Alligator mississippiensis: one gene and its partners. The protein of the gene in region 4 purifies or fractionates together with the protein of the main gene of each other region. This does not show direct contact. Links are inferred from orthologs where the notes say so. Each region holds a gene or a part of one and is shown on either strand. Other genes may lie near its edges.

Region 1 (7,403 bases), on a different chromosome or scaffold from region 4:
GGGATGGAGTGCTGATATCAAGGGGGGCTCCATCGCAAGGGCAGCAGCTGGACCGTGGTGGGCTGTGGCTAACAGCAAGGAACAAATACAGGCTGTACTGACAGGATGAGCTCTCTCCTGGCAGCAGTGACTTGGGGCATCGAGGATAATCATTGAAAGCAAGTGCCTCCAATATAACCCTGTGGCAGACAGGGCAGAGGAACCGCAAGTTGTTTCTACAAGATCCTTACCTGGTGCTGGAGTGACTGGTGCTGGAACACCGCGTGCAGGCTGGGGACCACCGGTCAAGGGCGCTGAGCTAGAGATGGCTCAGAGAAGAGCCATAAGAACGACTGAAGGATGGGAACCCTCGCCTTGCCATGAGAGCAAAGAGCCCAAAAGAAGATTGAGACCACCCCAGATACCCACCCAGGTACTGGAAACGCTAAGATCAAGGACTCCTCAACCAAGCAGACAAGGGGACAGCGAGCCAGAAGCTGAAGCTAAGGAAATACAGGCCAGAACTAAGACACCTTTTTACAAGCAGAGAATTTAGCTAAGTCCTGGAGCCACCACAGGCACCAGACATTTTAATCCAAGGCGTTTCCCTTCTTAAAGAGCTTGGGATTCCCCACAGCTTCTGTGCAAGGATCAATCCAGGGAAGCCTGAGGGCCAGCAAGACAGACTGGGTTTAGACTCTGTTGCACAAAGTCTATACAAAAAGGAGGGTGCCTAGGCTGTCAGGGAGCACGCTAAAACCACAGCTCCCTTGTCTGCTATAGGGTAGTGACACTGGTTAACAGGATCACTAACACCCGCCCACCCCTTTTCTTCTACCTAGGGACAAAAGTATCCAAGTAAATCCCCCATTCCCTGCTTGGACCACAGAGCCACTGCATATTAGATAGTTTTATGGGGAGCCTAATTTAACCAATCCAGCACATGCTGCTTAACAGGCACCAACATTCCTCCTGGTCTAGGCATGGATGAAGGAGGTGTCTAGCACGATATATGGCAAGCAACTCCTTTCCCCATCTGGCCAGCTTCCTGTGGAAGAAGGTCCCTCGCACATCTTGTTACAGGCTCAGAAAAGCCATCAGGCTCTCAAACAGGGGCTGGCAGTGTGGCTGGACAAGGTGCTCGCTACCTGGGTTCACAGGACAACCCTTTCTCCCACAAGGAAGAAAGGAAGAGCTCTTCAATAAACGGAGGTGCTTGAAGTGGAGGGAAATGGCCCGTGTGCCCTTGGATCATGCTAATGCCTCTGAGATGGATGAACTTGGCCCTGCTGGAAAGCTCCTTCTTGCCTGGTCTAGGGATAGCTCCTACCGGCTCTCCAGTTCCAAGGCACTTCCCGGCCTCCTTTGTTCCTCTCACACCCTCCCCTTTCTGTTAAAAAGAAAAAGAGCATTGGAAATTCAATGTACAGCTACAACGCGGAGGAGGGAAGGGCAGGACGCTCAGGCGAGGAACGCGGGAGCGAAGGCTCCAACAGCAATATTAGCCGGATTCCTCATCGCATCCATCTTCCACGCTCCCAGCTCAGGTTTAGCGCGGAGGTCACTATTTTACTCGCCCGTGCTCCCTGAAAGCGTCGCGAAAGCGCAATGCAGCAGAGTTAATGTTCCCAGCGGAAACTCCACGGCTGAAATTTCCTGCCCTTTTAATTGTGTAACCAACCTTAAATGTCTCATTAGCGCCAGGGGCTTGCATTCAACATGAGGGCGTATTTATTGCTGGAGGCAAGATTCCAGCACGGTCTGGTGACGGGCAGTTAATTCACCTGGAGAGGTGGTGGCTTGGAGAGGCCACCAAAACGTGGGGGTCAATCCTGCTCCGTGGCAGCAGACATGGCTGAAGCCCAGAGCGCTGGGTCTTCTGCACAGGGCAGGATTTAGCCTCTGGCATCTTTCCCAAGACTCATCTGTTTTGTCCCATGTGTTCTCCGATGGCATGGAAAACCCCAGCCACGGCTCGAAACCCCTCTGGGCCAGGCCACAGACCAACGCACAGGCAGGACAGTGCAGGGAGCCTCCCAGGAATGCAAGAGTTCACCTAGCTGAGGCCCTTTGGTTTCGCCTCAACTGATCCATCACCTCCCATTGATGCCACCCCAACTACCCAGGACCACAGCAGATGCACGCACACACCAGCCCTGGTTAATTTGGGAGAAAGAGGCAGCAGGAGCCTGCCGGGGTCTCCACGCAGCACCAGCCCCTCCCAGTCTGACACAGCTGCAGTTGCCAGCCCGTCTGGTTACTAAGATACTGCAAGGCTAGCCGAGCCCTGCTGCAGCAGTCTAGCCAGGCAGACAATGGCTCAGCAGCAGGAGCTCCCCGTTCATCCCAGCGGAGCCTAAAGGCAAACCCCGCTGCCGGTCGGGCTGAAGTTACCGCCGCCCATTGTTAAAGCTCAGGCCGGGGCTTGCTAGAGAAGCACGAGGCTGAGGCGCAGGCAGGGGGACTCCGCTGCTATGGCCTCCGGGGGGCAGAAACCCAGTCTGCTCCTGCACGGAGCCCGTTCCCCTTCTCGGCTCTCCAAGTCGCTCTGTTTAAACACAAGGCTCCCCTTGTTAGCCACTGCAACGCATCTGGGACCCAAGTGCTTCTTTCCACTGGAACCATTACAAAGAGAAGTCACATACACAGGAGCGTTGTAGGGGGCAGCTGGGTAAGAGGCCGCAGCCACAGCCACATTTGCAGACTAGACATCCCCTGGGGGTGGGAAGCGTTAAAAAAACGCAGCAATCTCGCCTCGCCGTGCTCTGGGACCAGAGGAGGCCTCCAAGGCTAAGCCCAGGCCCCTCGTCAGTACCTGGCCGTCTGGTCCAGCTGGAAGGAAAGCTCATGGCTCGTTGTTGGCCGAGGAGCTGTGGTCTCACCTCCCTGGCTCCATTTGCAAAGCGCACTGATCTGCTGCAAGGGGCCGCGCGCTGCAGCCAGGGTACGAGATGGCCGCAGCTTCCACCAGCAGCGCCCATGCTCCGAGGCCTCGTGTGAGGGAGGCGGGGAAGCAACTGGTGTTCGCTCTGGCTTGAAGGCCAGAAAAGCTTCCACCGTGGACGGCCCCCATGCTATTGTGCAAGCCAAGCAGGACCTCCCTTCCTCCCCAGCGCCGCCCCCCCCGCTGCCTCAATACAAGGAAAAGGTCTCCCAATCGGAGCCTTTCCCATCCGTGCTACAGCCGTGGTGCCAAGGACCCCCAAAGCCGCCCAAAGCCTTCGCGCACATGATTTCCAGCTGCGACACGCGGCGGGGTTCCCACCCGCTGCCCTCGTGAGGCATCGCCCCACGTGCCCAACCCTTACTCCCCACTGCAAAACCGGCTGGGGAGGGGGGGGAGGGAGGTGGGCCAAAGTTCCCCCTGGCCTACGAAGAGCAGCCCCCACCCCCGTTAGCGGCATACAAGCGAGGTGTTTGCTCCGCTCTCCCGAAAGGGGTGGGGATCCAGCCGCGAGGACCAGCCCTGGAGATTGGCACGAGAACGACACTCAGCCCCAGCCCCAAACCGGAAGCCAACCCCCGCTCCTCGGACGCATTAAAGCGGGGACCTAGGGCCATGGTGGGGGGGGGGGGGTCCCTCGTGGGTATGCGGGTCCAAACAGGGTCCCAGCCCCCCCTCCCCCGCACCCACGTGGTCGGTGCGGTAACCCCCACCCCCCCGACGTCACAATGAGGATCGAACGCCTGGATCCATTCTAAGGTGGGGGGGGTAACTCGGTAACGGGCAGCGGGGCGGGCGCTTAGCCCCCCCCACCTCGGCCGCCGATTGGCCGGCGCCGCTGGCGCTCCCGCCAATCCGGCCGCGTTCCAGGCGCGCGCGGAGAAAAGCGGCACGGCCATTGGGCGCCGCCGTCGCCCGTCCGCCGGCGGGGCCCCGCCCCTCCCCGGTGCCGAAGCCGCCGCCCCATTGGCGGAGCTGCCCGTCCCTCACGGCCCCGCGCCTTGCTCTCGCTCTCCTCAGGCAACGGCGCCTCCGCCCCGCCCCCCCGGAGCCAACGCGCCGCGCCATTGGCCCACGCGCGTGTCTGTCAAGCCCGCCCGCACTCCCCCGTTCACTGCATACAACGAGCCCCCGGACCGCGCCGCCGCCCGGGTACCTCGGGATGCAGCGGATCCGGCACCCCTGCCTCTCCACTCCGCTCCTGCGCAACGCCCGCCGCCCGCCAAAACAGCCCGCGAGCGCGCATGCGCCGGCGAGCCTCGCACCGCGCATGAGCGCCCAGACCCCTCCCTCCTAGGTGCCGCCCCCCCCACCGCTACGCCTGCGCAGTAGGGCGAGCCCCGCGCGCTGCTGCGCGTGCGCGAGCCCGCCCCCGGCCTCTTCTTAGAGCGCGTCTGAACCGCGGCGCGGCTTCTCGCCCTGGTGGAGTCCGCGCGGCCTCGCCTCCCCGCTCCCACCTGTGCCCGGACCCCGGCGTGAGGTAGTAGCGGCGGCGGCGCGGAGCAGGGCGACCCGCGATGGAGCGGATGGAGCCGCGAGCGGGAAAGAAGGTGAGCGCGGGGGGTGGGGGAAGGGGCGGGGCTCTGCGCATGGTCGCCATGATCGGGGGCGGGATCGTTTCTGTCCTGGCCAATGGGGGAGGGCGCGGGTGCTCTTCCACCAATGAGAGCCTGCAGCCTCTGGGATTCCGCCAATAGGAGGCGGTGAGGGGGGCGGGGCGCAGCGGCTGCCGCCCAATGGGAACTCGCCGGCGGGGTGAGGCGGTGGCGCCGGCGTTGCTCGGCCCCTTTCGGAGCCGGCACCTCAAGGAGCCCGCATCGCCGCTGCTGCCGCCGCCATGTCCAGGGCCGAGGTGCGTCGGGGCCTCCTCGTCCGCCGGGGTCCTCCCGCCCGTTGGGGTTTGCGCCTGCGTGGCGGAGGGCGCCGAGCGGTTTTTGCGCTTGCGCAAGTGGGGGTGGGCTTGCGTGGCCGGCGGGGCGGACGACGCATGCGCGGCGCGCGGGGCCATGCGGGCGGGCGCCTTTGTGCTCGGCGCGCCGTGGCGACTGCGCATGCGCCGGAGCTTCCTTTCTCCCGGGGCTCCCGCGTGGCTCGGCAGGGGCGGGGGGGCGGGTTTGGGGTACCTGCGGGCGGGAGCTTAGCCCCCAGTCCTGCGAGGTCTCGTTTCCCGCTCACTCCCTGCTATTCCTCTCTAGTCTCCCAAGGAGCCCGAGCAGCTGCGCAAGCTCTTCATCGGCGGTCTGAGCTTTGAGACGACAGACGAGAGCCTTCGCAGCCACTTTGAGCAATGGGGCACGCTCACCGACTGCGTGGTGGGTGTCCCGGGCTGGCCCCTCAGCTGAGTTAAACCCATTTAATGAGCTGCTATATATTCTTCCTGCGTGGGAGAAAGGTGGGGGGTAGATAAGCTCGTGTGGCACTTGTACTCGAGGAGACTGAAAATTGGTCGGGGTCTTCTTGTCCTAGCCTTGGTCCGATGGAGTATTGAAAGCCTTGGTGCTTTGGGGTTGTTGGATGGGTTTCCTTAAGCTGCCTTTGTGGTGTTAAAGATGCACTGCCGTTGATGTGATTAAACAAGCGCAAACAGCATCCTGTCTGAGTAAAAGCCAACAGCGCATATGGGATAAATGGGGAGAAAAGTTCCCAGGGGTAGCAGGCAAATGGCAGAAGAAAAGAAACTGATTACAGAGAGATTAGCACCTATTAAAATAGAGTGGGTGTTTTTATCACCTTTATTTGTGCAAATAATTACTTTTAAGTATATATAATGTGCTATAAGGGTGCGGACAAGTGACACCTTTCTCCTCTGGCCACAAAAAGCAGTTTATTGCATGAGGAATCGGATAAAGACGTTACAAAATGTAGCACCTTGTGTAACTTGTGTCTGCAGAGCTCCCAGCCCCTCCTTTTCAGATTGGGAGGGGGGAAGGGAACAGGGAGTTCAGTCTGGGGGGTTTTCCATCCCCCTGGAGTATGGGGTGGATGTATTAGGAAACACCCCCCCTCCCCCCCCCCCCTGGGTGGGGGCACACCAATTAGTCCACCAACCCTTCAGTACCAGCTTGGGTGCCCCCAGAAGAGCTCTCTCTGCTGCCTTTTTCCCCCTCCCATCATGCAAACAGCAATGGCAGAGTTCTGGCTGTTGGTGTTGGAAAGCACCTCCATTCCCCTCGCCCTGGAACTAACAGTGAACTTCTGTTTGGTTTGGGGTAATGTAGAAGATTCTTGCTAAGCAGCAAGTTGAGTTTACAGCTAGGAGCTGCACTTCTGTCTGCAGCTTAAAACGAATCGGGTTGGCTTAGTCATGCATTTATATGTATTTTTGTTCTGAAATGCCAGTTAATGTTCTCTCTAGGTTTCCCTCTGTGCACTTGTGTCGTCTTTGCTGGGTTGCTCATGGAGACTTGTGTTTTCTAGGTGATGAGGGACCCAAACACCAAGCGTTCCAGGGGCTTTGGATTTGTCACGTACTCCTCCGTTGAAGAAGTCGATGCCGCCATGAACGCCAGACCGCACAAAGTCGATGGCAGAGTTGTTGAACCAAAGAGGGCTGTGTCCAGAGAGGTAGGAACAACAAGACTAGTCCAGTGAGTCGGTGATAAGCGTGCTCCTCCATCTTGTACCAAGGCTGAGTTAACAGTGGAGCCCTTCATTTGCGTGGCTGCTCTGGTCATTTGAGACTTGGTTGGGCATGCTCCAATTTATGGGAGTTGCTCTAGCTCCTTACGTTCTGTGCTGTGAACGATTCCTCCCGAGGTAGCTTCTGCAGCCTGTTGTTTCATTGGCTGTGTTTGGGGGGGGTGGGAAGGTGGTCTCTGCTATTTCTCACGGAAAGACTGGGTTACAAAGTTCCCCCATCTTGCTTGTGGTTTTGGGGTGGGCTGCAGTTTCCATCTCAATTTCAATCCCCAGTTGTGCCTTTATGGGCACCTTTGCACTGGAACATGGCTGAGAATTAGCCCTTTCCCCTTACTGTGGGGTCTGGTGTAGGTGGGGATTTGTTAACCACCCACCAGGTGCTCCTTCAGGCAACAGGAGAGCAGCCAGTTTCAATGCACTGGTTTGTGACTTATGTGCTTCTGGTCCATGTGATGCCACCTTTATTGCATAGAGAATGGGTGCTTGTGTCATGCTTCTTTCCCTCATGCATTTCCTCTCTGTCCTGTGCAGGACTCTCAAAGGCCTGGTGCTCACCTAACAGTAAAGAAAATCTTTGTCGGGGGCATCAAGGAAGACACAGAGGAGCACCATTTGCGGGACTACTTTGGGCAATACGGCAAGATCGAGGTGATTGAGATCATGACAGACCGCGGCAGTGGCAAAAAGCGAGGTTTTGCCTTTGTCACCTTCGATGACCACGACTCTGTGGACAAAATTGTCAGTAAGTACCTGGCTGGCTCTTACAGTCCCACCCAGCTTTTCTGCCTGGATACTCAAGGGCGGGTCAGACTTGTCAGTCACATGGAGGTAATATCTCGTT
Region 2 (7,817 bases), on a different chromosome or scaffold from region 4:
AAGTATACAAAGATGAGAAACAAGGTGGACACAGCAAGTTTGTTACATACGTAAAATGTTAGAAGACTGCTACAGGAATAAAGGTTAGCTTGGTAAACCAAGCTTAAAAAAAGCAAAAAAAGCAAGTAACACTTACTCTTATCTGATCTACAATTTTTCTGATCTGAGGTTCAAATCCCATGTCAAGCATTCTGTCAGCTTCATCAAGTACAAGGTAAGTGCACCTCCTGAGATTAGTCTTTCCAGCTTCTAAGAAGTCTATGAGTCTTCCAGGCGTGGCAATGCAAATTTCCACACCTTAAACCAAAGATGTTGATTAGCACACCTGACAAAAGTTAAGACATTGTTTATGTACTCGCCATGAAGAAATAAGTTCTCTTCATACCTCTTTCCAAGTCACGGATCTGTGGTCCTTTTGGAGCACCCCCATAAATACATGTGGACTTCAAACGACATGCTCTACTATACTCAGCAGCTACTTGCTGCACCTGTTGAGCCAGTTCTCGAGTTGGTGCCAGCACCAGACACTGGAAATAATTAGATTAGATTAGCTCTCTGTGCAATGATTACAAAACGTGTTTTATCTTTAAGAGAGAATGAAGATTTAAGGAAGTAATGAAAGATTTTATTTTCCGTTATGGGGAATGTGGCCAAAAAAAAATTCTATCCCAAGTGTTTAATTAAGAGCTAGAGAACTTGCTTTTTAGTAGGGCTCTCACAAAAAATCTTTTAGTTCCCTTGGTTTGGCTACCACTTACCCCATTTTTCAATTTTTCCACCAGTATGGACTCTTACAGCCAATACAAGAGAACATATGATTTAGGAGTGAACTAGCACTCCTGCTCTATTCTCAAAATAAGACATTATTTTGTCCAGAAGAGTATAAACACTCCTCCCTATTCATCTCAATATAAAAACGCAACCTAGAATGAAAGGATATTTCATATCAAGTTATACTCACAATAGGTCCATCTCCACGCTCTAGGAATGGCTGATGATTTATGTGCACTATGGCAGGCAACAGGTACTGTAGAAAAACAAAAGGCAGTTTTTACTCAAACCTGCTCCCCCCCTTATTGTAAAGCCAAAACAAGCTTAACTGCTATTACATAAATTAAAAACTAAGAAATTAAACAATTACACTAAAATGTATTAAAAAACAACCGAAAAAGAAGGAAACAGCAAAAAGAACCCCCCAAAAAACTTACAGACAGCGTTTTCCCCGATCCAGTCTGTGCTACTCCAACCATATCCAGTCCACTCAAGGCAACAGGCCATCCCTGGGCTTGAATAGCAGTTGGTTCAGTAAAATTCTGCCTCTGAATTACCTCCATAACATTTGCTGGGGAAAAAAAAAAGGGGGGGGGGGCATATATTAACTTGATGCTTCTATTTAATGAGCTTTGAATCAAATGCCTTGGCACTAATTGGCTAAACTTACCAGGAAAGTTAGCTTCGTAAAAGTTTATGAGTGGTTTTGGACAAGTATGGCCCTTAACTGTAATTTCTTTGCTTGCTCTGTATTGTTCAACCTCTTGCTGTTAAAAGAAAAGATGTTCAATTATTTTATTTATTTGAATTATTTATTTCGTTTCAATTATTTTAATAAAAAAAAACAAAAAAAAAACCCCATGTTACATTCAAATCCAGCTGCTGCTTGTAGTAACTTGTTTCAAGTCAGTACACTGGAAAGCTATCAGGCTCCAGTGGGTACAACCTTTGCAATATGAAGCCGATTAGGTTTAAAACGGCCAAAAAAAATAATTAAAAAAAAAAAATGGTCACAATACGTACTGCAGTACGCCGAACTACATCAGGATGCTCTTGGTAAAAATTCTTCTCAAATTTGGGCAGTTCATCCAAGTTCCATTTCTTTTTGGTAAGCTTCTCCCCCGGGTTTCCAAATTTCTTCCCGGAGAGGAGGCCGCCTCGACTCCCACCAAACCGAGGGGCTCCAAACCTGAAAGACGCAGACAAGGTTAGGACTGACAGCAAACAAAAGAGCCGTGGCAGGAACGAGCCCCCCCCCCTTATAAACGCGTGCCGGTGCCTACCCCGACCCCCGGGCTCCGCCGGCGGGCGCGCAGGAGACGCGGGCACATCTTTATCGCTGCGCATCCGACTCAAAATGGGAGCCGCGCGCAAGAGGCTCCGCTCCGCTCTCGGAGGCGGGCGAGGTGCCGCCCGGCGAAGCTTTTTGTGTTTCTCCCCCCCCCAGAAAGCCCTTCCTTGCCGACGGATGACGCGAATAAATAAACCGCCGGCTGGACCAGGGCCAAACCCGGCGGCTTTCGTAAGAGCGGGGACACTCCCCTCCTGCGTCAGCCGAGCGGGCAGCGCCGAGCCGCGTCCCTTGGGCGCTGCAGGCAGGGGGGATTTTTATTTTTTTCCTCCCTGGTCCTCCGTGCAAACCACCGGGGGGGGGGGGGGGGGGAATGCGGCGGCCGGCGCGGTGCCTCCGCGGGCGCTTGGGCGAGGGGACAAGGCGGCGCGGTGCCCCCCTCGGCGCCGCTTCCTTTGTCTGGCATTTCTGCCTACGCCACATTTTCCAGCCGCTGCCATTTTAGAGCCGGGCTGGGCGGGGGCGGGGGAGGAGGAGGAGGAGGAGGAACAAAGGCAGCGCAGCCGGCATTTTGATTCCCCTCAGCCGCCGCATGGCGGGGCCGGCCATTAGCATCCGCCCGCCGCACAAAGGCAGCCGGCCCGTGCCCCCCGCCCCGCACCGCGAACCGGGCCCTCCCGCGCCCCGCATCCACCCCCTCATGGCAGCGGCGGGGAGAGGGAAGCGGGCGCCGCGGGGCCCCGACCCCCGCCCGCCGCCGCCATTTCACGCGGGGCAGGAGCCGGTGGCGGGCGCCGGCCGGGCCCCCCCCCGGCCTCACCCTCGGTCCCTGTCGCTGGAGTACCCGGGCATGGCGGCGCTGCTGAAGGAAGCGATTTTGCTGGTTGGCGGCGACGTTAGCAGAGAAGAAATAAGGTCCCGAGGTGTCGGCGGGGGCCAATGAATGGGGAGCGCCCGGCCGGCCGGATGCCGGTTATATAGCCGGCGCCGCGAGGCATGCTGGGAGCCGGCTCGTGACGTCAGCGCAGAACCTGCCCGGCTGTTTTATGTAAGCCGCTGCCGGTGGGCGGGGCCTCCGCTGCCGGTGGGCGGGGCCAACGCCCCATAGGCGCGCGCTCCTGCCCGCTGGCTGGTTGGCTGCGGCGCAGGCGGGCGGAAGTGCCCCGCCCAATCCGGGCGCGGCTCGCGCTGCCCTCACACTGCTCGGCCCGCCGGCCGCGTGCCGAGAACCCCAGGCGGCTTCTCGCCCTTCCCCTTCCGCGCCTGCGCGGCTGAGCGCGCCTGCGCAGTGCTGATTTTCTATATGCAACAATTTCCCCCCCACCTTTCGCAATTGCACCCTCTCCCTGGGTGGCTGCGGCGCGCCCTCCCCGCGCCCGGCGTTTTCATCGCCCCCGTTCGCAGACAAGGAACCGCAGCCGGCCCAGCCCCCGGGGATGAAACTAGCCTTCCCTGGGAAAGGACCTGCGCAAGTGCAGGGTGGCTGGACCCGACGCTCTGTGCAAGACTTTGGAAATAGCTGAAGCCCCTGGTGGGGGTGGAGGATGTTTCCCAGCGCAGGGCCGCTTACGGTTCTGGACTGACTCACGGATTTGGACTTCATGTGGCTGGGAACATGAAAAATTTCATTAAAAAAAAAAGTAAATCTGTAACATCTAGGAACCCCCGCAGTGCTGGGCAGCCGGGCTCCTGCGACTCTGCGGGGCAGAGGCATTTGTAGAAAGTGTTAATGTTACAAGACAACGGGTGCCCCCTGCCCCTCTCCGGGCCCTTGTGCCCTGCGCACTCTCTGCTGCGAGGCGGCAGCCCCCACTGCCAACTTGCCACAGCAGAACAGCCAAGGCAGCGTGTCCTGCCCATTAAACCACCCTGGGCGCATCTACGTGTGCACATTTACTGCGCAGTATGGGCACGCGTCTACACGTGCATGCTTGTACTGCACAGTAAATATGGCTACTTACGCCATCATGAGCCTAAATTTGCTACCTGCATCATGCTGGTATCAAATTTATTATGCCTGATGTGTTACTGCGTAGTAACACTGTGGATTGATTTGGGTCTAACTTTCGTCCCAAGTCACTCCACACAGCATTAATGTGGCCCACACATATAGACCCTGGCCTATTCCCATTTATTGCACAAATTTACTGCACAGTAAGTTACTAAACCAGCATGTATGCATGTGTAGACTGTGTAGCTGCAGTGCTGTCTCTCACCTGAGTTGAGCTAGATCAAGTGACGTAACCCAAACAAAAGTGCAGGGAAAACACCCCTAAGGGCATAGCTACAAAAGCAAGTTATGCTGAACTAAACTAGGGTGTGAACTCAGGGTGTTGGCACATACACAAATTACCATGAGGTAAACCAGGGTGTGACCTCCATGTTACCTATTCCAGAGGTCACTGCCCATAAACATGCTTTTACCCAGCAGTAAATGCAAGGTGAGGCACCCAGTTGACACCCTTCCAGAGTAGGAGCTGCTTGACAGTAGCTGCCCATATGCACACTCTTACTCTGCAATGAGCAGCAGCTTCCCTTTGGGGAAAAAAGGAAGGAAAAGCTACCTCACTGCTCATGGGGAAAGATCGTTCAGAAAAGCACTTACCACAGAGCAGTTGCAGGGCAGCCTGTACTATCAAGTACATGCCTCTTCATCCCTTTATTTACCAAAAAGGGCTTTAGTTTCATATCACTCCTTTTTCTAGTAATATGTACATACTAGATCTTTTTCTTAGTCTTTCCCAGCATTGCTACCATTTAAAACATTAAAGAAAATACCTGGCTTCAAAAGAAGATTGAGGCTGTGGGTATGGCTACCCCAACAAGTTAGCCTGGGAAGAGACAGCCAGCCTGCATGTAGTGCAGCATGACCCTGCAGATGTGTGGCATCGCAGACTGGGGAGGGCCCAGGCACTAGAAAGCAGAACAGCCAATGGGCGGGGAGTGCAAATCAGGAAACAAAAAAACAAAGCAGCAGATAGGGCAGGGAGCTGAAAGCAGAGCAGCAGATCAGATGCAGGAAAGGGATCAGAGTGGCAGTTTCAGGGGGTGTGGGGCAGGGATAGGCAACCCCTGGCATGAGTGCCAGTGTGGCACAGGAAGACATTAGGCTTGGGCAGATGGCGGGGTAGGGGCCAGGTCTGTGCTGCCACAATGAGGACCAGACCCCTCATGGCTCCCATGCCACCCACCCCTGGCACACCAACATCTTACAAGTTGCAGGTGTATTTGGCACTCTGCCCAACAACGTTGCCTACTCCTGGCGTGGGGCTAATTTGTGGCGTACTTGACAAAATGGTTAGGCCCCCACTGAACTGGGGGATGAATTTATAGCATATTAGCTACTCTGTGGTAACCATCTGTGTGCACACTCTTAGCTTGAAGAAAATGCAAGGTACCTTACCTCACTTTTACTGAGGGGCGAGAGCTACCTTGCATTTATTGCAAACTAAGAGCATTCACATGAGAAGTTGCCATGGAGACTGGCTAATGCACTGTGAATTCAGCATTAGCTTACCTGGATACAACTTGTAACCATACCCTGAAAGTCCTATTTGCACCCAAGGTGAAACAGTAGCTGCAAGAGGTGCAAACAGCTCAACTGACCTCAAATCAAATAGTTAATTACAATGCTTTGGCAGTCCTGGAATGATGTTGCAGCCACGATGGTTAAGGAATCATGCAAGAAACAAAAGGATCTTTGTGGGTGATATCTTTAATTGGACCAACTGCATGATCGGTGTAAAGTTAGATCAGCTTTCAAATGCAAGGTTTGTTTGTTTTTTTTAATCAGGTGTGCAGGAAGAAGCAGGCACAGCTATGATTAAAAACAGCGTGTAGGGCTGTGAAATTGGAGGACAGATTCCCAGGGGTAGCAGACAAACAATTACCAGAAAAAAGAAGCTTGGATTAACAGGCGATCAAGGTCTATCAAAAGGGAGGAGGCTCATTATCACCTTTAGTGATGAGGAAGGATTTGGGGAATTGGGTAGATCACAGTATGCCATAGTGTTCAGTCCTTGGTTCTTAGCATCTAGCCAGCTTATCACAGTTCCCCGTGCAGCCATGCTGGAATGACCCAGCTGGGGCCTGTTCACACACACCTGCACCAGGCTCCAGCTCAATTCAGCTATGTGGGAATGGGGTCCTATCCTGCTGGGGAGGGGGGGGGGGTGTTGAAAATTTGGTGTTGGGGGCAGCAGCAGTGTTAGTTGCCACTGCTCCCCCCCCCACCAAAATCGTTGGACCCACAGGGAGACCTGAAAACTCTGTGGGTCAGATCTGGCCTGTAGGCTAGGGGTTGAGCACCCCTGGATTAGAAGAATCATTAAATAACTGTAGTTCATACTTGACACAAAGCAAACACTGAGGAAAAAAAATCCCCAGCCCCTCCTCCACTCCTGGCTTTCAAACAACCTCCTTACTTTGCCCAACTCAATGTCAGAAACAAACTCCCCATTGCTGAACTGATACCAGAAGGGGCACATCCAGCCTTACCGACAGATTTAAAAAACCCACAAAAAAACCCCAAAAAATTGTCAACACATCTCCACTGCTTTAACAGTGAACACCAACCAACTACAAACCCATCAAAATCCATGGATCCTACATGCACCTCTCCCAAAGTATGATATATCCAACCCACAGCAACAAGTGCCCTCAAAATAACTATATAATGGGTGAAACTAAACAAACTGCACACCAGAATGAACTGTAAAAAAAAAAAAAAATTAAAATATATAAAGAACAGAAACACACAAGTGCCAGTAGGAGCACATTGTCTCCACAAAATAATAATAATAATAATAATATAAAATAAAATGAAATAAAAAATCACTTCTTTTCTGACCTTACTATTCCCATGCTCAAGGGCAATTTACAAACACTTACAAGGTGAACTCAGAGCAAGATTTCATGACATTTAGAATCAAGGACTGAACCCCAATATTGACTTCATGGCATATTATTAGCTGCCAATTCCTGAAATTCTTCCTTCACACTACAGATAATAACCACCTTCCTCTTCTGAAGAGTCATGATCTCCCATTAATCAAGCTTCTTTATCTGTTGTTTGTCTGCTGCCCTTGGGACTCTCTCTCCTCCAATTTCACAACCCTACACGCCATTTTAGTGTTCCTGCACCTGCTTCTTCCTTCAAACCTGATGAAGAATGCCTTGTAATCAAAAACTTTATCACCATCATGCAGTTGGTCTAATAAAAAAAGGTAATCAGCTACAAAAATCCTTGCCTCTTCCAAATACAATGCTGTTACTTGTCTAATTGATGACATAACTTCCACCTGACATGCTTGTTCAATGCAGATACACGTTCTAGAGCTGTATAATCTAAACTGTTTGCAATGAAAAAAAGCTGGCCTAGGGAAAGGAGGATGATTTTTGTGGCAGAGACACGTAACTGGAATCAGGCAATGTGCGTCCGCTTCCTGGTTTTGTAACAGACTTCCTTTTTCACATTTGGTGAACCTGTTAAAAACAAACAAACCCCTTTGTGCTTCAGTCTACCTACTTGTAAAATAGGAGTAAGACTTCTCTCCCACTCGGAGCCGTTGTGAACACTTAAATGAGGCATTCAGAAGATACAGCCATCTCCAGCCTTATACTGTAAACCTCGGTTTGATACCAGTAAATGACTGGTTTGTCTCTCCCTCATTCACTGCTCCCAAGGCAGCAGTTTACATCCCACTTGCCTGTCTTGGGCCTGTTTTATGCACCAGACATGATGCATGTGTAGGAC
Region 3 (6,931 bases), on a different chromosome or scaffold from region 4:
ACTCCTGCACTATACAGTACAATGATACTTGCTATCCACAAAAAGCACATTTATTAGACGTTATCCGCTGTAGTGAAAATCTGCTACTATAATGCTTTATACTTTGTTAGATCAAAAATATGCTACATCTGACCATTTATAATCCTGTATTTGTAACAACTTCTAAAATCAGAATATATTAGACAAAATAGTAGGACAGGGAACTTTAGACTGTGCAAAGATGAATAGTGGTCCCAACAAAGACTAAAGTTTTTAGTGTTAAAAATATACCTGAGTTTTGACAAATATGCTCTCCAAACATTGTCCTTTGTCATCAAATAAGGTCGCCTGCATTGAAACATAGTGAAATGTTAAACAATCAAATTACTGCATTTCAAAGAGCAGAGTGGATTTGGTAGACTCAGAGAATATATCATACTGTATTAAACTTGAACTCTTCACCTTACTTCCTCCAGTGCTGGTCTTCAAAACCCCATCTTGCCATACTTTTGATTTCTTGGTCTTCTGATGAGTGTATAAGACCTTTTGAATAAAATTGTGATAATTACTGAAATGATAATTTATAGTGGTTGTTGCACAAACACAAGAAATATTTAACTGAATTTTATATATTGTTAATAAAAAACACTTACAGTAAACTCTTGACAAGTCATTGCTTTGGATGGCTTTGCTTCATCAAAGGTCTACATTGCAACTTTTCACTCTCTCATGCTACCTAGGAGACAAATATCTTTTTTAGAAGACATCAGCAAATAATCTAATTTACAGAGGTGCAAAGCACCATTCATTTTAACTCAGTTGATACCTCTGAAAATGTAGCCATTAATTTTTACAAAGCACTTTGAAAATTAGAAGCTTTATCGTATTAACATAATCTTCATGCACACTGGCAATAAGAACTTAGGTTACCTCAAAAGGTATGATTTTCAGAAAATGTAGAATGCCCACTGTCTGAAAAATCCTTTTTTGTTTGCTTGTTTTGTTTTTACACATAACAAGTTGGCCCATTAAAATTTAAGCTGCTGACCCCCCCCCCCCCCCCAGTTAGCCAGTCAACAAAGAACAACATTTTATAAAAATATAATGATCTGTGTCTATGTTCAAAGGGTTGGACTTTCATTGAAACTATTGTCAGTTTTATTAGCTACTGGCACTATGATGAAAATCGACCACAGGGAAATAGCTAGTACTGGCACATGCTCCCAAACTACTTGCAATCTCTGGCTGCCTCTACAGACATCAATATGAATGAATGAAAAAGTATTTAAAAGTAATCATACATAAGAAAAGGAATATGGAAAGCCAAGAAATATTGGACAGCTGTAGAAATTATAGGAAACTACATGATAGCCAGCCTAATAAAAATATAGTTGGATCGATAATACAGATACTATATTTTAACTTTGAAGCACCATACCAGTAGTTACCAAACTGTGGTTCATGGGTGAAACCAATTAGTACACTCCAGCAGGCTCAATTAAATCAAGCCTGCTCCAAAATGCTATAATTACAGCACATTGAAGCAGCATCCCTGCGCATCTACAGACACCCTAGGACTCTGCAATGCTGTGGCTAAAATCTGTCATTCTGTTCCTGGGATCCACACTGATTCAACATTGTAAAAATAAATGTCATTGTTGTAGAACAGTTTCTAGTCAAATACAACTGATTTATGGTATTAGAGATGAGAGAGATTCATGGCAATGAGTCTCAAACTGTGCAATTGGTTTCATTACTTTATTAAGCAAAAAAAAAAAAAAAAAAAAAAAAAAAAAAAAAAAAAAAAATCTTCAAATGCTCAAATTCTACAACTTACCACCAGAGGGCTTTCCTGTTTCCCATATTTTTCGCTATCAGTCTTGGTTCAGCTGTATAGAAAAATCATGTTTCCAGTTGTGTAAATGCTAGTTCCCACAGAAAAGGCAGATTCTACAGTTTATCATCATTTTTGTGCTAGTGCTAGAAGAGGATTCTGGACTTCCAGCATTAAATAAAGCCATTTACATAAACATGTTACTCAAGAGAAGAGTAGTTTTCAGATTTTTTTTTTTACCTCTTCTTTAATAACAAAATGGAACTAGAACAATACTGGGAATTATAGAAGCAGTCATGCAAACTCAATGGAAACAAGTTTAAGGCAGGCTGAATAATAGGGGCACCAATACAGACTCTGTTTTCCCCTGGTTCATTGACTATTAAAAGAACATAACTGCAGCTGCTAAAATTGTAAATGACATCAAATTGGCTGTTCTTGTTCTATCATTAAATATTAAAACAACATCACCTAATTTTCACAAACAACCTTGAAATATTTTCAACAACAAAGGAAGAAAGAAATTAAAGGGGAAGCCAAAGAAAAAGAATCAACTTTCATCTTTTTTTTTTTTTGGACTGGGACTAACTGAAAGGATCAGTACCACTTCAAAGTTCTTCTAATGCTAACAGGTTACGAAAGATCAAAATAAGTCTGTTTCCCCATCACTCCTTTTATTACAAGGATTGTTTAACAGTCCCTCTCTTTCACATCATTTAAAGCAGAGGCAGGCAATTATTTGGGCTGAAAGGCCACATGTGAAGTTTTGTGAGCTGTTGAGGCCTGGGAGGAGAGGGGAGGAAAGGGGAGAGGGAGCCAGGGAGATGCCAATTGATCCTATCCACACTGCTAGCTACTGCTGGAAGCCTGAGGGAGCGTTGTGCCCCACACCACTCCACTCTGCCACAGCCAGGACCTGGCTGGGCCAGACAGTGTGCAGATTCCTCCAACACTCCCCTGCCCCACCATCCTGTTGGTACTGTGCAATCCTGGCACTGCAACAACTGTCAGCCTGGTCCACATGGGACAAGGCATGATGCAGCACGCTGAGTAGTTGTACCACCCACCCACCCACCCACCATGATGAGCTGCTGCAGCCGTGCCACATTGTAAAATGTTGGGGGTGACAGCCCTGAGTCAAGCGGGGGTCGTACCCAACTTTGGGGGCTTGGCTTTTTTTATTATTATTAATACATTTCATGTTCCAGGTCAAATCAACCAGATCAGTTCCACATCATACTACTGAGCAGAACTCAATCATTCCAAAATCCATATCGACCGAGCAAGCAGGACGCAGTCCCAGGCTTTCACCCTGGGACTTCAGACACTCCCAAATCCACTGGCAGGCATCCTACCTGCAGGCCCAAGAGATGCCCCTGCTTCACTTTAGCCCACAAGAGGCCAACTTCTGGGTTTGCTGTCAGTGTTTTCTTTTGCCTGCTTGCCTTGAAATAAAGAAATGCTTCGACTCTGACCCAGGTCTCACTCACACACTGGCGATTAGTGAGCAACATAAATTTAAAAAGATGGGTTATTGGCATATTTATTTGCAGATTTCTCAGGGTACGATCGCTTTTCAACAAACAAACACGATCGTTCTGAGCTTCCCATGCGGGTACTTTCATATTTAAGGTGTGGCAACGCTGCGTTCAGGTAACCAGGCGGGGACGGGACGCGGGCCCGAGGCCGGCTCGGCTCGGCTCGGCTCGGCTCGGCTCGGCTCCAGCCCCAGCCCCAGCCCCAGCCCCAGCCCGCCCCAACCTACCCCACCTCCCGCCCCCAGGCAGTAACATGGAGACAAGCGAAGGGAAGGTGCGTACCCACCTCACGGAGGGACCAAGTGACCGCCGGACCCTTTCAACTTTGAAGCTTTCCCGCGCCAGCTGCCGATGACGTTGTTCCTCTGCGCCGGCACAGAAGGCCCCCGGCTGCCCAAGCTTCGCCTGACGGGAAAGGGGAACAGGACCAAGCCGCTTCCTTGTCGGCCCCTGGCAACCGGCGTGCGCGTAATACGTCACGAGAGCGCCCCTCGCTGATTGGCCTGGCCCCGGAGCTTTCGCTCTGAGACTCGAGCGTCGCGTTGATTGTGACGTGACGGCGGGGCGGAACGGCGGAGCGCTGGAGGAGGCGCGGAGGGTTGTGGCCGCGGGGCGCCCGCGTGACGCTGCCAGAAGCCCCGAGCGGCCGGCGTTGGCAGGTCAGTGCCGCTGGGGGGGAGGGGCGGGCGAGAGCTACCGCGGCGCTTGGAAGGGGAATGCTGTGACGTCAGGGCCTTGTCATGGGGGAGGGGGCGGGGCCTGTAGCAGCTTGCGCGCGAACTCCGCGTGTCGCAGAGCCGCGTCCTGGCTGTTGTGGGGGGTCCTGCTCCGGTGGGGTCGTGTGCAAAGGCTGTGTCCGCGCATGTGTTAGCGGTTCCCTCCAGCATGTGCGCTGCCCCCAGGCCCCGCTTTGCCCTGGCCGTCGTGCTGTGGGCTGAAGGGGGCTTGGTGTTCCTGCCCACACTCATGCAGCTCCCTCTTACTTGTTAGTGGGAAGAAGTCAGGCCCTCCTCAGCTGACACTGACCCCATTGGCCCAGCATCTGACGGGCAAGACGTGTATACACACGTGTGCATGCACCTATCTATAGATATCTACCTTCAATACTACCAAGCGGCCCCTGTGGTTCACTTGGCAGGTCAAATCACACTAAAAACGTGTTACACAGTTCACACCATGCATCCATTTCCATACCTGAACCCCCACCCACTGCCCTCCTCAGAGGGCCTGCCCCTGAAAAAGTCTATGCCAGGCCCCTCTCCACCAGATAATCTGTCGTTTCTTTCCCATCCTCTTCTGTCTTCCTGTAGTACCACTTCTCCCCTCCGGCCCCATGGTTCCCGTTCAGGACGGTCTGTTCCTGAGTTTATCGCCCCGCAGGGCCCTACCCAAAATTGTGAACCTTCTCCCATTAGCCAACCCGTGGGCTAGTCCAAGAAAGTCTGCACTATATCTGCCTACATTTGTGAAGCTCCTCCCATCATGGAATCAGAAAATTAGGGTTGGAGGGGATCTCAGGAGGTCATGTAGTCCAATGCCCTAGATCAGGTGCTACCCAGGAAACTACCTAGTTGCATCAGTGTGCTCTTGGAAATAAGCGTGTTCTCACATTGAGGTGACAGGTTCATAGCTGACATTTGATATTTGCTCCCATTTTCTCTTCCTACTCCCTTGAACATCACCCTTTCTGAGGTGCTATTTCAAGGCTGAAGCGGAATGGGAATCGGAGAGGACAGCAGTACATGGGCTGAAATGTCAAGCTGCCATTGAAGGTCCATGATCACTAAGTGATATGCTGTCCCTAGGCTTTTAAAAATAAATCATTATATATCACTAAACTCATTAATGTTCAAATGGATGGCCCTCATTACAGTCCTGAACAAAAAAATATGGATTAATACACAACAGACCTTTCACAGGGCATGAAATGCTGAGTGATTAACACCTTGTACTGCAGAGACTATTTGTTTTGTTTTCTTTATTTGTTCTTTCTTATGCATCTGAGGTTACTGTTCTTTATGAAACAAAATCTAGAAGTCCTTTGCCCCTGTCAAAAATGATTTTCTATTTGCTTTTTTAAACTGTCAGGGAGGCCTATGCTTTCTCTTTAGGGAGATCTCTTTGGGAGACAAACTGAAGAAACAGGAGGCTGAAACTTAAGATCAGGTCTTACAGACATCAGCATAACTTAAACTTGCTAACTGTGCTATGCTACAATTTCAAGTACTTGAACACAACCTCTCAAAGTTACATTTACTTTTGCTTTTGGTATGAAGTGCTATGTACGTGTGCATATGTGAACAAAATTAAATTTTATTTTGTAAGCAGTAGTTACATTTTAACACTGAAGCTGTTGCTCATCTCATCTGTTTATGTTTGTTAAAATGGAGCTTTTGTTACAATTTTCCTTAATACCATTCGGAACATTTTTGCAGTCATGAATTAAACATAAATCCAAAGCACTAAAGCTCTCTTAAATCATCTTCAAAAATACAAATGTACGTGTTTATAAAAATATGCTGTCAAAATTTGCTTTACCTGTGGCAGGTTAGGTACAGGCTGATGTTGTGTCAGGGTTGAGGCTAGTCTTATGTAAAGTTTAGATTTATGGTTGTATGGAATGTTTTGGATAGGGATGATCCTGCCTCAGGCAGGGAGTTGGACTAGATCAGTGGTTCTCAAACCTTTTTTGTACCAGGACCCATTTGTAAACATTGATGGCCAGTCCTAGCCCAGTGTCCCTCACTCCTGACCCACTGCCCCCAAGCCCCCAGTGTATGGGGCAAGAGCTGGGGAATGGAGGATAGGGGGCCCCAAGCAGTCCCTTGCAGGCTGGAACTCTGACAGCCTGCAAGGGAGAAGCCACGGTTTTCCAAGTTTTTCTCCTTTAAAGGAGAATCCATTTTTTAAAGTTTTTTTTCGTGACCCTTTCATATATTCTTGTGACCCATAGGTTGAGAAATGCTGGACTAGAGGACCCTTCCAGCCCCGCTTCTCTATGATTCTATGACCAAAAGAATGTTCAGCATTGCAAAAAAAAAAGATAGGGTCAATGAGCTAGGGGGGAAAATCAGAATAAACTTATTCTGCCTCAACTTAAATATTACTTTAGAAGATAAAGAAATTTAAAAATAGCAAGTTCATTTATAAACCCTAGCAGTAATGTGTGAGCTAGTGTGGATGTCAGAGGCAAATAAGGCCATAAATCAATACAAGCAAGACAGTTATGTTTATAAGTTTAAGATACAGATTTTTAAAGACCAAACTTTTAAAGATTAAACTACAAATTCAAATGTTATTTCCTTCTTAAGGGGTTTTTGCTTGTAGCTGTGTTGGTCTAAAAAGAGTGACTGCACCCAAAAGCTTGCTAAGAACTTTTTTCCAACTACTCAGTTGGTCTAATAAAAGATATCACATCTACTCAAAGAACCTTGCCTGCCTATTTCCTTCTTAAGACATGTGAAAGTTGTATATTCACCAAGGTAATGGACAGCCATCCAAGTAAATGGTTTAGATCCCTTACAGTGAATTTTGTCAGGGAGTTCAGGAACGTACTTCCTGTAATAGATGTTACCTGTGT
Region 4 (6,969 bases):
GCTGGACAAAGACCCTCTAGTCCGTGGGCCCTATTTTGCCCACCCCTGATGTAGAGTGTGTAAAAGTGCAAGTTGCACCAATCAGGAATCAGTGCTGTGAATCCAGGATAATGAGCAAGAGCTGCAGACTTCCAAAGGAAGGGGCCATGTTTCTGGAGGTATATGTTAACCTCATCTCAGCCTTTTTAGAGCAGAAAGGGAGAGCTGCTTTTACAGTTGAAAAGTAGATGGCTTAATATCTGGAAGCTTGCAGCCTCCGAGTAATGTCAGGCAGAAGGCACAGCAGGGAGGTACCATAGAGACTAACTGGTTAAAAAAGGTGTTGTAGGCAACAGTCTGTGAACAGTTAGTTTGTGGTTGAAAAGGGGATGGGGTGGGCAGTCATCATGGGTGTATGCATAACTATTAAGCGTGATTATCCTGCTGCAGACAACTGTGACTGGGCAATGAGCAGGACATAAGAATCCCCTTGCTTCAAAAGCTTCTTAACTGTGGAGGTCAATAAACAGAACAGGTATCCCAGTTCCTTCCTGCCTCTATCCCGAGTTTACAAACTGAAAGGGTTATTTTCCATGCTCATGCAGGCACCGATGGGTTACCCAGAACATTTCACAGACATTAATTCTGGCTGGCCAGGAAAGGTACATAATGCTCACATTTAGAAGAATGCAGAACTTTTTCAAAAGATACGGGCAAAGACATTCTTCCCCAGCAGGTACCTTCGTACTGCTAACGTTGAAATGACAATGGTGTTTCTGGGGTACCCAGCCCACATTTTGCAGCCTTGGCTCATGAAGCCATCCACTAGATACTTGGTGACAAAGAGAAATTAAATTGCCAACAGAAAGCAGGTGCAGGATGGCCATTAAAAATGCTTTTGTTGAAAGCCTGATGGACCTTAGTGGATCCAGTACCCCTGAACTTGCTGCTGCTTGCAGTTGGTCAAACACTGTTTGCAAAGTGCCAGCAGAGTGGCACATGGAAATTGTCAGACTGCTGAATTTGAGCAGCCAGAGAGTGGGGCAGCTAGCTACTGGTGCTTGCCCAGATGCTGTGTGGCTGAGGGAGACCCTAAGGCAACACCTCAGTGTTGTGTCTTGAAGGGCACTACCCCTGCATGCTTTGTAATGAAGGGAACATGAAGGTTTTGTGCATGTGCACAATAAAATGAGGTGCCCTTAACATGTCTGAATGCAGTGAAGCTAAGCACTAATGCATGAAGCTGGTAACAGTACACTTAATATTAAACATATCCAGTAGATGACTGCCCAAACACCTCTCTCATGTAGTTTGAAAGGTTTTGCACCGCTAGAGAAAGTTCAGCATGCCCCTTATCTATCTGTATATATCGATATCTGTATATATAGATATCTATATCATACATACGGACACATATCTATCTCTGAGTGTATATATATATCTATAGATATATCACACACATATCTATCTATATATAACCAATATATAGTCTATGTGTAGCCAACATATAGTCTAACCAAAGTGTGTGTAGATAGATATATATCATAGAACTATAGAATCATAGAAAATTAAGGTTATAGAATCATAGGAAATTAGGGTTGGAAGGGACTTCAGGGAGTCATCTAGCCCAACTATCTGCTCAAAGCAGGACTATCCCCAACTAGATCATCCCAGCCAAGGCTTCGTCTAGCCAGGCTGTAAAGCCCCGCAAGGACGGAGATTCCTCCACCTCTCTGGGTAACCTGTTCCAGTGCTTTACCACCCTCCTAGTGAGAATTTTTTTTCCTAATATCCAACCTAAACCTTTCTTGCTGCAACTTGAGCCCATTGCTCTTGGTTCAGTCATCTGTCACCACTGAGAACAACCCAGCTCCATCCTCTTTGAAACCCTGCTACAGGTAGTTGAAGGCTGCTATTAAATCCCCTCTCAGTCTTCTTTTCTGCAGACTAAATAAGCCCAGTTCCCTCCACCTCTCCTTATAAGTCATGTGCACCAGCCCCTGAACCATTTTTGTTGCCCTTCAGTGCACTCTCCAATTTGTCCACATCCTTTGTGTAGTGGGTGGGGAGGGGCAAAACTGGACATAATACTCTAGATGTGGCCTCACTAGCACAGAGTAGAGGGGAATAATTACTTCCCTTGATCTGCTGGGAATACTCCTACTAATGCAGCTCAGTATGCTGTTAGCCTTCTTGGCAACAAGCAACAAGGGCTCATTGCTGACTTATAATCATCTTATTGTCCACTGTAAGCCCCAGGTCCTTTTCTGCATGCACACACAGTTATGTATCTATCATATACGTACACATTTTTAATATATACACACACTTACAGGTTTCCTTGACTTTATGCTGTACATGCATTCCTGGAAAACAGTGCATAACTCAAATTCACATAAAGGGAACCCACTTCACAATGCAACAAGTAGGGATATGTTCCAAGACCTCGACTGTACTGACTCCCAAATCCATTCCTACCACTTTAAGACAATTTTGGTACTTTCCAACACCAGACGGGTGGCTGCCACTGCGTGCGGCACTTTGTGCCCAGCTGCAGCTGCTCCAGGATCAGTGCTGCTGGCTGCACTGTGCCCCCTGCCCGCCCAGCGGTGGGATGCATGTGATGTTGCGCCGCTCCCGGGGCAGCTGCAGAAGCACGGGCACCAGCTGCCCTGGGCAGCAGGCTTCCATCACACTGATAAGAGTGAATTTACCTCGCCTATAATGAATTTTTAGTATGAAAAGAATCATTGCATAAGAGCAAATTCGCACATACAGAACCTGCATAAAGTAAGGGAAACCTGTATGACATCCTGGCTGGGCCAGCATGGCTACAGCACCACTGACCCAGCTGCAGCAGCTGCCTTGAGGCAAGTACCAGGTGGGGTAGATATGCACCATACAGACTATATACACACACTACATATAGAGTGTGTGTATTGGTTATATATGGCTCGTCTACACGCACGACTTAATGCACACTAGCCTATTTTAATGTACGTTAAGGCATCACAAAAAACACGCTCTTTAGCCTAGTGCACATTAAAATAGGCTCAGGCCCATTTTCCCAGTACCTCACAATGGAGGTACGAGATTTACTACACGTAATCTAAAGTGCATTAACTGAACATGTAGATGCACCCCTAGAGACTAACCGAAGGGTGCATAATGACATCTATCTATCAAGAGCACACACCAAGTGCAGATGCTTCCTCAGCCTGATGAAGGGTATTTAAACCCGACAGCTTGCTAAGAAGAATTTTTCCAACTATTTGAGTTGGTCTAATAAAAGAGATCAGATTTACCCAAAGACCTTTGTCTGCCTGTGTCCTTTGACCAGCATGGCTACAACCTACACCCCTATATCTATCTATCTATCTATCTATCTATCTATCTATCTATCTATCTATCTATCTATCTATCTATCTATCTATCTATCTATCTATCTATCAGGTTTTTGAACCCGAAAGCTTGCTTAATAATTATTCTCCAACCATTTGGGTTGGTCTAATAAAAGATATCAAATTCACCCAAGGAACCTTGTCTGCCTATCTCCTTAGACCAACACGGCTACAACCTACACCCTTGTATCTATCTATCATGCACGTATCTACCAGATATACGTGTGTATCGACACACCCTTAGGTCCGTGTCTGTACAGTGTATACTTGGGCTGTACGTGCGCACACACGCGTGGCCTCCTCGGTGCAGCTGGACCGGGTTTCTCGGGCGCGGCCCCCTGGCGATAGGGGGCGCTCGCGGGACGAAGCCACCTCCCTCCCTTTGTTCGGCGGCGCTGCCCCTTTAAACCCCAGCGCTCGGGCCTCGCCGGCTCGCGCGTGCCGCCATTGGCCGGGCCCAAGCGCCGAGGGGGCCGAGCGCCCCGCTCCCGCGCCGCTCCCATTGGCTGGCGGCGCCGTCCGTCGGGCGCGAGGCTCGCTGACGGTGGGCGGGCGGCGGCGACGCCGCGGTCCCTGGAAGCAGTTCCGGGAAACCCCGCGTGCCGCCGGGGTCGCGCCGCCGTCCATGAGGAGAAGGAGGAGCGCGCGCCATTTGCCGTCGCTGCTTGGGCCCGAGCTGCGCCGCGCAGGCCCCGCTCCCGCTCCGGTGAGTCCCGCGGCGCCGCCGGCGGGGGGGGGCCGAGGCGAGGCGGGCAGGCCCCGCGCAGCAGCGGCGGCGGGGAGGGGCGCGGCCTGGCGCTGGCGGAGGAGGCGGGCCCCGCGCAGCCGCGCCGGGCCTGGAGGCGGCGGGGCCCGGGCCGCCCAGGCCTGGCGGGGTGGGGCAGCGCCCGGCCACGTGGAGCACCGGGCCCGGGGCGCGCGCGTGTGTGCGTGTGGGTGCGCGGGGGGGGCGGGAAGCTTGGCCTCGGTGGCCCCGGCCCCGCGCTCGCAGGCGGCGGAGGAGGACGTGCTTGCTTGTGTGCCCGCCCGCCTCGCTGCGAGCCGCCGGGCCCTGCTCGGGGGGGCTTCGCGCTTTTGCGGGGCCTCCCCAGCCTCCTCCCAGGAAAGTCTGGCAGCCGCGATGTTTTGCGCGGCAGGAAATACCCGGCCGCGAGGATCGGCCTCTCCCGCCGGCCGCGCCGAGCGATTCCCGGTGCCTTAGCGCCCGCGCAAGCGCTGGGGGGAGCCGCTTTCCGCTGCTCAGCTCAGCTCAGCCCGCCTGGGATGCGACTGGCTTTTTTGCTTTGCTTCCCCATCATTTTTTTTTATTATTATTTTTGCAGATCTATCTGCAAAACTTGTTGATTTTAAAAGCGGGAATTTAATATCCATGTCCCTCTGTTACATGTGGAGCTTGATGATCTGTCTTGCAAAGCAGTTTTTGTTCTTTTTCTTTTTTGCGGGGAAGCTCACGTGTTAAATAAATGTATCTTGGCACCCGTGCTGTGTGGAGTAGGTAGAAGAGGCATTGAGACATTCAAATGAATGAATGTTAAGACCCCTCTGCAGGGTCGCTTTGAATTATCCCTCAGACATTGCCCCACACATGCTTACAAGCCACCCCAGTGCTTAATTTGAGTGAACTGGCAGCATATCGAGTTCATCTACCACTGGTCAGGTTAATATAATACCATCACTTTGTGCAGTGATCTAATTGCGCTGACCACCTACAGCGCTAGTATAGCTGCTAACTGACTGCCGTGAAATCGTGGTAGGAGTGTCTAAGGCCATGACAGGCAGCGTTGGGTACCTTCATTAGTGTCTTCTATGTAGTTTTCAGCCTGAGAGCTGTGCCCATCTTTCTGTATGCCAAGAATGGGAATTGAGATCCCCCAAACTTTCTAGTACATGTTGTGATTTAAGTCTAAGAATTACTGTGTTGGAGGGGTGAGGGTGTAAAATACTCATTAACAGTAGCACATGCTGTAGTAGAAATCAAATTGAGAAAGATTGAGATTAGTAGAGGCAGTATCTTCCCAATAAAAACTTGACCAACCTTGTGCTGTGTTCATAACTATGAACCAGTGAATATTTTGTAGCGTGTTTTTTAAGTAAGTTCTAAATAAGACCAAGTTACGGTTGTTTTTACTACACCACAGTTTACTTGTATGAGAGAAACAGTTGTAATATACCTTCTTTCAAAACTTGAATGAATCTCATTAGTGACTGGAAGGTCCTTCAGTAATCATGTCAGAGTTCAGCTTCCCATTATAACCCCTTGTCTCCCCTCATTCATAACTTCCTTATTTTTTCCTTTTTGGTTTGAGACGTACTGTGGCTTTAGACTAAAAGTAGTTCTTTTGCGTGGTATCAGATTGTCTTGCTGTGCTCCAGGGATGCTGGGAAGGGGAGCTACAAGCTTAAAACAACTACTTTTGATGCATTAATAATGTAAATGGTTGGCATTCAGTATTTTAACTGTCCTACTTTTAGACCTCCAAGTTATCTGCAAAGAATATTAAAACCAGAATCGGGCTCAGAGTCCAAATTCTGTAGAACTTTTTAGTTATATCTGTTGCATGTTCAAGTTGACTATGTCCACTTCTGCTCCATGGTGGTCAAACTATAGCTAAATAGCAGTCCAGAGAAGTCTATTTTCAGCTGCCATACTTTCTTTTGATTTGTCATGTTAATAGAAAGCATCTATGGGGGAAAACATGGAGGCTTGACCATTTTGATTTTTTTTTTATTGTTTCTTTAAAATAAAAGCATTTTCCAGGTAATTCAAAACCAGATTAAATTTGACCTCCTAGTTTGTGTGAGTAGAACCTCATGAGAGCTAGTTATTACAGTAACACATTGTGAGACAGGGTATGGGCAGGATACCCAATTAAAAATACAAAGTAGTTGGAAGTATACTTTAATAGTATAAAGTTCCTGTTGTCTTCAGTTGTGTAGCTGGGAGTTGCAATATGGAGTTTTTAGTAACACATCTGACTGCACTTCCACATGGTCTTATTAGTATTCCAGGAACAATCCCCACACACAATATATATACTGATAATCAGTAACTGCTTTCAGGAGGTACATCTTCATGTGCACCTTCTGAATTCATCTCTTTCTGGACACTACATATATATGTATATCTTTCACCTGAGACTTTTGCACACATCTGGGGCAAAACAATTCACTAACCCTCTGAAATTAGGCATAGTTCTGTGCCTGCACATGAAGGTTACACTATCCAAATTTACTTGAATGCAGTGCTTTTTATTTATGACAGGTCAGAAGTTGAGCCATATCAGATACCACATACAACATCTATATACACTTACCTGATTTTGTGGTCATCTTTTTAGTGTTGCATACTTTTAAATATTAAATCTTTGAAGTTCATTTCAAGTATGGAAAGGGAAAGCAAAGGTATTCCTTAATCAGACTCTTTTTTTTTTGTGCATTCAGTTGTGTGTTGTTTTTGGTGGCAAAGTATCTTACTAGATTTTATCCCTAGTTGTCCCACGTAGCGCACACTGCTAAGGAAGGAAGACTAGGTATTTTCTTTCTCTCTTTCTCCTCCTCCCCCACTCCCCCATCACTGTAATTCTTGTAT

What was found.
Region 1: the proteins of HNRNPR (region 4) and HNRNPA1 purify together in Homo sapiens (affinity purification with mass spectrometry; 7 studies listed by BioGRID and IntAct, counting the BioPlex papers as one, with this or other methods). This does not show direct contact. The link is inferred for Alligator mississippiensis from reciprocal best matches to the Homo sapiens genes HNRNPR and HNRNPA1.
Region 2: the proteins of HNRNPR (region 4) and DDX5 fractionate together in Homo sapiens (co-fractionation; 3 studies listed by BioGRID and IntAct, with this or other methods). This does not show direct contact. The link is inferred for Alligator mississippiensis from reciprocal best matches to the Homo sapiens genes HNRNPR and DDX5.
Region 3: the proteins of HNRNPR (region 4) and LARP7 purify together in Homo sapiens (affinity purification with mass spectrometry; 4 studies listed by BioGRID and IntAct, with this or other methods). This does not show direct contact. The link is inferred for Alligator mississippiensis from reciprocal best matches to the Homo sapiens genes HNRNPR and LARP7.

What each region holds. Positions count from the first base shown.
Region 1 is NC_081838.1:7,977,950-7,985,352, reverse strand, and holds the start of HNRNPA1 (heterogeneous nuclear ribonucleoprotein A1), read left to right. Parts: upstream 1-4,382; 5' UTR 4,383-4,440; coding exon 4,441-4,473; intron 4,474-4,667; exon of another isoform or gene 4,668-4,760; coding exon of another isoform or gene 4,761-4,775; intron 4,776-5,118; coding exon 5,119-5,235; intron 5,236-6,340; coding exon 6,341-6,487; intron 6,488-7,093; coding exon 7,094-7,304; intron 7,305-7,403. Other genes in the region: CBX5 (chromobox protein homolog 5), read right to left, coding at 4,080-4,169. UniProt on the Homo sapiens protein: Involved in the packaging of pre-mRNA into hnRNP particles, transport of poly(A) mRNA from the nucleus to the cytoplasm and modulation of splice site selection.
Region 2 is NC_081831.1:6,442,910-6,450,726, reverse strand, and holds the start of DDX5 (probable ATP-dependent RNA helicase DDX5), read right to left. Parts: upstream 3,021-7,817; 5' UTR 2,915-3,020; coding exon 2,883-2,914; intron 1,961-2,882; coding exon 1,795-1,960; intron 1,539-1,794; coding exon 1,442-1,538; intron 1,343-1,441; coding exon 1,209-1,342; intron 1,028-1,208; coding exon 962-1,027; intron 528-961; coding exon 386-527; intron 298-385; coding exon 137-297; intron 1-136. UniProt on the Homo sapiens protein: Involved in the alternative regulation of pre-mRNA splicing; its RNA helicase activity is necessary for increasing tau exon 10 inclusion and occurs in a RBM4-dependent manner. Binds to the tau pre-mRNA in the stem-loop region downstream of exon 10.
Region 3 is NC_081825.1:125,983,096-125,990,026, reverse strand, and holds the start of LARP7 (la-related protein 7), read left to right. Parts: upstream 1-3,916; 5' UTR 3,917-4,010; intron 4,011-6,931. Other genes in the region: protein ZGRF1, read right to left, coding at 271-327, 442-522, 633-653. UniProt on the Homo sapiens protein: RNA-binding protein that specifically binds distinct small nuclear RNA (snRNAs) and regulates their processing and function.
Region 4 is NC_081829.1:9,933,810-9,940,778, reverse strand, and holds the start of HNRNPR (heterogeneous nuclear ribonucleoprotein R), read left to right. Parts: upstream 1-3,949; 5' UTR 3,950-4,005; coding exon 4,006-4,086; intron 4,087-6,969. UniProt on the Homo sapiens protein: Component of ribonucleosomes, which are complexes of at least 20 other different heterogeneous nuclear ribonucleoproteins (hnRNP). hnRNP play an important role in processing of precursor mRNA in the nucleus.